2 linked regions of the Cricetulus griseus genome follow. The protein of the gene in region 2 purifies or fractionates together with the protein of the main gene of each other region. This does not show direct contact. Links are inferred from orthologs where the notes say so. Each region holds a gene or a part of one and is shown on either strand. Other genes may lie near its edges.

What was found. The genes of interacting proteins can lie anywhere in the genome.
Region 1: the proteins of Rab11fip1 (region 2) and Rab11b purify together in Homo sapiens (affinity purification with mass spectrometry; 3 studies listed by BioGRID and IntAct, counting the BioPlex papers as one, with this or other methods). This does not show direct contact. The link is inferred for Cricetulus griseus from reciprocal best matches to the Homo sapiens genes RAB11FIP1 and RAB11B.

The regions. Positions count from the first base shown.
Region 1 is NC_048598.1:95,215,502-95,219,591, reverse strand, and holds the start of Rab11b (ras-related protein Rab-11B), read right to left. Parts: upstream 2,801-4,090; 5' UTR 2,682-2,800; coding exon 2,642-2,681; intron 1-2,641. UniProt on the Homo sapiens protein: The small GTPases Rab are key regulators of intracellular membrane trafficking, from the formation of transport vesicles to their fusion with membranes.
Region 2 is NW_023276807.1:56,678,570-56,682,069, reverse strand, and holds part of Rab11fip1 (rab11 family-interacting protein 1), read right to left. Parts: intron 2,899-3,500; coding exon 2,456-2,898; intron 1,341-2,455; coding exon 566-1,340; intron 1-565. UniProt on the Homo sapiens protein: A Rab11 effector protein involved in the endosomal recycling process. Also involved in controlling membrane trafficking along the phagocytic pathway and in phagocytosis. Interaction with RAB14 may function in the process of neurite formation.

The sequences.
Region 1 (4,090 bases), on a different chromosome or scaffold from region 2:
ACACATTCAATGCCAAGCTATTTATAACAGCAAAAGGTCGAAAACAAGCAAGGAATGACCACAGATGCTCAATGTGTTGACTTGAAGGGAAAAGATTCCCTGTCCTGCCTGAAGCTTCCTCAGGGTAGGTTGTGTGGGGACAGGTCCTTGCCATTTTAGGGCCTGAGTCTGTTCCACCCATCACCAGAAAGCCCTTCAAATATTTGGTCTCCAAAAATCCTTCCAAATCATCCTCTGCCTCTAGAGTGATACCTGGAGCCTACACCTGCTAATCACTTACATCTGGACACAGCCCACTACCAGGCCATGGTGCTATGTGGTTAACTCTGCATCTTTGCAGACCTCTGTCTCTGCCTAGGAACCTTTTGTCACATGGCTATCCCTACTACCTCCACAAACCCAAGATGCCAAGGCTGGCTTTAAGCACCAGGACACACTCCCAGAAGGGCAACTGTGTGTCCCTTTAGTGCTCAGAAATTAGCTCAAAAGCAGCCACTGTCTGGTGGGGAGCCTAGCATAAACAGCACAGGACCAAAAAGCCCGCCTGGCATAGAAGGTGTCATCATGCCAGAGACCCCTAAATATGTTCATCAGAGAAATGAGGGACCCCAGTGACATGGGGGGTGAGGTAATATAGTATGTTTTATTAAAGCTTGCCTGAGGATTCAGAAAGCAAGTAAGCCTCAAGCTACCGAGATCAGGCAGTGGTGGTACACACCTTTTATCCCAGGACTCAGGAGACAAAGGCAGATGGATCTCCCTGAGTTCAAGGCCATCCAGGGCTACACGAGATTGAATCAGTCTAAAAGAGTAACAGAGCCAACACCTTTAATCCCAGGACTCATGAAAGGTTATTTAGACAGGAACAGGGTCTCAGAGCTGGCATTCATTCTCCAGCCACACTGAGGATAGGAAGACATTGGAGTCTAAAGATTCTCTAGCCTCTCGGAAGAGAGCAGAACAGTCTGGGATTTCAGTATGAGGTTTGGTGGAGCCAGGATTGCCTTTCAGCCTGAGCTATAAGAAAGAACTAATAGCCAGCTGCTTTGCTTTTCTGATCTTCAGCTTAAAGTTTGAACCCCAATATCAGTCTCTGGGTCTTTTATTGATCATGCTACAGGTAGGAAACTCTTCCAGTGGGTTGGATGTGTATGTGTTGAGGGGAGGTCTGACACCTGTTTGTTCCAGATCTAAGCTGCAAAACTTGCCCCAAAGCTCATACCCTAAGTGGCAAAAACTCCCTAAACTGTCCAGAGCTCAATCCTGCTCCTCCCTCAGGAACTTGTCTCTCTGAACTTCAGTTTCCTTCTTGTTTTGAGGACAGGATATGGCTATGTAACTGATGTTATCTTTAAAAATTTTTGTTGAGATAGGGTCTCACTTGGCATTCCACCACACCTAGAACTCTCTATGTAGACCAGGCTTGCCTGCCTTGAATTTCACAGAACTGTGTGTTTCAGCTCCCTCCTGAGTACTGGAACTTAAGGCAAGTGCCACCACAGTTGGCCAAATCACATTATTTATTCTGTGTGCTGTATGTGCGTGGGCTCATGTGACATGGACAGAGGACAACTTGCAGACTCTGTTCTACCATGTAGGCCCCAAGACTGAATTCACGTTATCAGGCTTGGCAGCACACACAAATACCTGTTGACCTATCTCATCACCCCCAGGTTGACTTTGAAATAGAAAAAGATCCTCCTGACTCCAACTCTGAGTAATGGGATTTCAGGTGTGCACCACTTACAAGCATGTTTCTTGGATAATATGGACTGTATAAACTGATAAAGAGGATTAAAAGGAGTCATTAATGTAAAGTCTCAGAACAGTGTATGTACTGGCCCAATGTCATCCACGTGTTTTTTTTTTTTCCTTTGAGTTCCAGTAATCCAGGCTGGCCTCTGCACTTCTGATCTTCCTACGTCTGCCTCCCAAGCGCAGACCACCCAACGCCTGCACCATCACACAAGGTTTATACGGTGCTGGCGATAAAGCCCGGGGCTTTGTGCCTGCTACTGCTAGGCAAGCTCTCTCTCTACCAACTGAACTACATCTCCATCATTTACTCAGAGTTTGAACTACCGCTGCACACACAGGCACCATCCCACCCAATTCCAAGGCACCACAATTTAGGGCTCCTGCACCACGTGACCCAGGCCCCACCCCCCCCAAAGGCAGGCCCCGCCCCTACCAGTCCAGGCCCAGCCCTAGAAGTCTCACACCAATCAGGCTTCCTGGGCACGCCCACAATGTTCTTCAACTGCCCTAACCCCATCTATAACCCCCCGCTGTCAACGCTTTCAACGCAGCCCGCCAGCCAAACCCAGGGAAGCCCCGCCCCTCATGGAGCCCCGCCCCAACGGCCTCGCCTTCCACTCCGGGCCCCACCCTCTCCAGGGCCCGGCCCCGCCCCGGTGCATCCGGGGTCCACAGGCCTCTCTAAGCCTCCCTCTTCTCACTGCTGCGGACTAGGGCCCGAAGCCTAGTGAGCTCGGCCTGCCGTGGCTTCCTCCGACTCTCTACCCGGGATAGGGCCCCGCTGAAGCCTGGGGCTCCACCCTGGACCCTCTCGCCCCGTACTGCGGCCTCGACCCTCCCGTCGCTACCGCGCCCTTGCCCGCCTGTACTCCACCGGGCGCACCTTTGAATAAGTAGTCGTACTCATCGTCCCGGGTCCCCATTGTCCTGGCGCTTCCGGCGGGATCGGCGACTCCGCAGCCCCACCACAAACACCCGACGGGGGCGGAACCGGCGCCGCGCAGAGCGGCGGTCCGACGACCAGTCAACGGCGAAAGCGGTAGTGACAGGCACCCGAGCAAGCCAATCAGACTTAGGAGCCGAGCTCAGGTGGGTGGGAGCCTCTTGGGATCCACCCTTCTAGCCCTCGGTCTCATGGAGAAAGGCGGAAGGAATGCGGACCTTTCCGAAGTGACAGGCTCAGGAGCCTATCAGAAGCAGAGGGGGGAAAGGCGGGGCGGAAGACTGGAACAATGAAGTGGATTGACAGAGGGCGTAACCAATGAGGGCCTGCATTCAGAATCGGCTTTCCCCGGACCTGTCGGGGAAGGGAAATTGAGCTCCCTCCAGGTGATGTTAAGGACTTTAACGTCCTAATGACATCATAGGTCAGTGCGTCTGCCCTGGCTTCTTACCCTAGCCCCATAAACGACCATTTCCGGGTGTGTGTGTGTGTGTATGACGACTGCGGGAACCTTCTCTGGGTGGTAGTCCCCCAATTCTTTGTTTAAACCTAAAGCTTATGTCAGTACCTCCCAAACAAATAGGGATCCTAGACTTCTTTATTTGCTCCTTTTCTCAACAAATTAAGTCTTCTGTTTTCTGCTTTTCATCAGTACTCACTTTTTTTTTTTTTTCTTTTTTAAAGACAGGTTCTCACTAAGTAAACCTGGTTGTACAGGAATTAGTGATGTGAATCAGACCACACCTGTCTGGTTTTCTTTTTTTGAGACAAGGCCTAATGTTACTCTGGCTGCCTTTAAATTTGCTATGTTATTTATGGATTACTTTGAACATTTTTTTCCCCTGCCTTATTTGGAGCACAAGGTCTCGACTGTGTAGCTTCAGCTTGTCTGGAACTTGCTGTGTAGAACTCAAGAGATCCACCTACCTCTGCCACACACAAATGTACTGGGATTAAAAGACATTTGCCACCACATCCTGACTTTGAATTTGTGATCCTCTTATACACTGGTAACTTAGAAGTTACCTCTCTGATCTCATTTTCTTTCTCTGCTCATGTGTTCCTGAGATTATGTGGATTGTTTCCTTAAACACATACACAATTAACAGTCTGCTTTGTGCCATGAAGTCTTTGTTTAACAAATATTCAGAGGCTGGGCAGAATACTAAGGGAAAGGAATGCAGCTTAATTGTATTTATTTTACATCTATGTATGTATGTATGTTTTGTTTGCATGTTGTGCACTCTGTGCATGCAGTTCCCCGTAGAGGCCAGCCCTGAGACTGAAGATACAGACAGTTGTGATCTGCCATGTGGGTGCTGGGAATCAAACCTGAATCCTGTGTAACAACAGCCAGTGATCTTAACCACTGAGCCATCTCTTCAACCC
Region 2 (3,500 bases):
AACCTGTGTGTACAATCTCCAAAAGTTTGTCTCTCCACCCCCATACCAGAGAAATGTCAACATGGAAGTCACTCAGAAAACAGATTGTTCAGGTTGAGGCAGGCTCTCATGATCAGGCACAGAGGAAACAGAATGGTCACAGGTACACTAAAGGATGGACCAGGGGTGTCGAACACTAGCAAACTGATGCCAAGTGCCAGGAGAGGCAGCCATCTCCAATGGCAGTGCACTGAAAACTTAAACATGGGTTCAACCTGTGTACTCAATGCAACCAGGTCATATGCTCAGAATCGACCACAGAGTGTCTCTTTTCACTGGAGTCTGGTTAGCTCACTGAGAAAAACAACCCCCACCCATGCATGGCTGAGCTTTAGGCTGGGAAACACTTTTGTCCTCTGCATTGGGCAGGCCAGGCCAGGCCAGCAGAGGTGACTGGTTCAAATGACTTAAGACTAGCAGACCTTTGCACACACATCCTGAAACTGACCAGATTTGCTCTAGTGGAAACTGCTAAATACCAGGTAGTGGCAGAGAAAGGTCCCACATGTAAAAAACTAGGACTTACCTAGGTTTTACAGCTTTGGTCTGGGGAGCCCTTGGAGCGGGAACTGGTGGCTTCGGTTCAGACTTAGACTCCAGGCTGGCTTCTGGGTTTGAGATCTGCACATCTTCAAAGGGATTCAGGGAGTTGCCCCACTGGGAGGCAACAGGTACAACATCTCTCTCAGACTTTCGTCCAAGGTCTTCCTCCCTCAGCTGGGCTTCCGTGCTCGTGCCTTGCCTTTCCTTCTCTTTCTCTGAGACAATGGGAAGAGGTTCGCCTTCACTGCCTTTTGCCACATCTTTCTTTCCTGTCACCAGAGAAAGCAAAGAGGATTTCTTGTTCTCCTGCTTCTTGCTCTCTTTTGTTTCTTTTGTAGCCTCCGTATTTGCTGGAGACATACTCTCTCTACTGTCCCCACTGGTCAGAGGTCGGTAGGATGGCAAAGACATAGACTTCACAGAATCCTTGCTGGAAGAGTCGGACAGTCGCCTGTCAGAGGTCACGCCACCTCCTTCCCCTGGTTCCTTAGGAGATCTGGCAGCCAGGTTCTCGGTGGAAGAGAACAAATGCTTCTTCCTGAAGCCCTGTGGGGATGGGGAATTCGAAGGGCTGCTGTCCTTGATCTCACTCTTGGCCTCTGGCTGCTCCATGTAAACGTGGTTCCCATTGATACACAAGTTAGATCTGGAAAGGGAGTCATTCTTGGACCGGAGGCCTCCGAGGAAGGAGAGCCCCTCTTTCTTGGTCTGGTTCAGTTGTGTATGGTCTGCACTGGGTGTTCTCTTGTGGGACATGACTGGGAAGAAAATAACACAAAGGGTAAGTTCTGGAGAGATGGTTCACAGAGTGAAGGTATTTACTGCAAAGCTGGTGACCTGAATTAAATCCCCAGGACCCACATAGTCAAAAGAGAACCACCCCCACGAGCTAGCCTCTGACCTTCAGACACACTAAATAAAAAATGAAGCTGAGGATACAGCTCCAAGTTACAGCGTTTGTCTTTCATGCTCCAGGCACTGAGGTTCAATCTCTAGAGGAATAAAACAAACAAACAAAAAGGGAAATTATATGAGTGAGGGATCTGAGGCAAAGTTCAGTGACAGAGTTCTTGATTAACATGTATGATGCCATCATTTTCATCCTAGCGTGCAGACCGGAAGAGAGGAGCATGGGAGTGGTAAAACAAGTAGTTGCAATGGGCAGGGGCATCTGTCAATCCATCAGCATCCGCACACATCTTCAATCGAGGTAACTGATTGGAAGGTACTAGTGTTACCTAAGCATCCTCCTATGCACAAGATGGTTCCCCACAAGAAGAAATTATCAACCCAAACAATCAGTGATGCCAAAGTTAAGAAATTCCATGTTAAGCCAGTGGAAAAGGCTACGTTCTCAATAGAGTAACAAAATCTGGCCATAAAAAGGGATTCAGTAATTGAAGCTGAAGTTCAAAAAACACAGTTTGAGTCAAGGAGACTGGACTACTTAGCTTCCACCAGGGATGTACCACATGGGAGTTAGGCACGTGATAGAAGCTCAGCTGACATCTGAAGATTTAATGAAGAGTCAGACATACACACAGCCTGTCACAACACAGTCCTATAGTTTTATTCTATTATATACAACAGGTGCTAGGGATGTGTGTCAGGGTTAGAGCATTTGCCCAGCATACTAGGGCCCTGAGCCAGATTCCAGGACTGTGAAAAAACAAACAGCAGCAAAATCCCCTCAAATCTACTTATTTTGTGAGCTCCAAAGCCTTGGAGAAGACTATTGTATTCTCCTAAGGAACAAAGCCTTAATGAATATCATCACCATCATCACTGTGGTAACTAAAACCCAAAGACCTGCCTCTTCCTTCTCAGAACAAAGGCTGGGGAAGCAGATGAGTGAGCAAAGACAGAAACTCACCATCCGAGGCAGAGGAGGACTCATCCTCATTGTCATCATCATCCCACCGGGACTTCAAGTCACCGGGATGAAGCAGCACTTTGTCTAGCTTGGAAGTAGGCAGGACAGACATGGACTGGGAGAGCGGCGTCTTCTGCAAATTTGACTTGGAAAACAAAGTCTTGATCTTTGATTTCTTTTTCTTGTCTTTTGAGAAAGACTCCTCATCGCTGTCCACTGAGGGTGTTGTGCTGGGGATTATGGCTGAAGCGGTGTCCGAAGCGCTATCCTTATTCTTCCCTTTGATCTTGTCTTTCAGTTTTCCAAATGGATTTCGAGACTTATCTTTCATGGAGAGGTCAAACATGCTGGCAGTCATGTTGTTTCTCATAAACTGGATATCGACCTCAATCTCTCCTCGCTCTTTGTCCTTCTTTCCTGGTTTGGACTTCAGGGTGTACCATCTAGGGGAAGAAAAGATGAGAGGTTACCTTTGGATGGAAGCAGCTCCAACGGGGCTCCTGATGCCATCTGTGAATTCCTCTCTGCTGCTCTCAGCTCTCATACCAATGCTCTTCTACACTGCCTCAATGAAGAGTAAGCAGGTGGGGGACAATACAGAACTTTGCTTTTATTTATCCATTCATTTTTGTAGTGCAAGTGACCGAACAAAACAGGCAAGTGTTCTGCCCTCAAGTTATATCCCTAGCCCTGTACTTTTCTTTCTTTCTTTCTTTCTTTCTTTCTTTTTTTTTTTTTTTTTTTTTTGGTCTACATGCTAGACAAGGGTAGTCCAATGCATCTATCTTACTTGGGCTTTTGAGTGTTATTACACAGTACTCTAGCAACAGAGCTCTACCCTCAACCCTTATAACCATCTAGAATAATAATCCAATAATGAGTTATTTCTAAAAATAAAGAACTTGGCACAGTGATGTAGGCCTAAAGTCGCAGATATTGGGGAAGTGGGAGCATATATGACTTTAAGGCCAGTTTAGAAAATACAAGACCCTACCTTAGTTGGGTGTGGTGGCACATGCCTTTAATCCCAGAAGCTGGGAGGCAA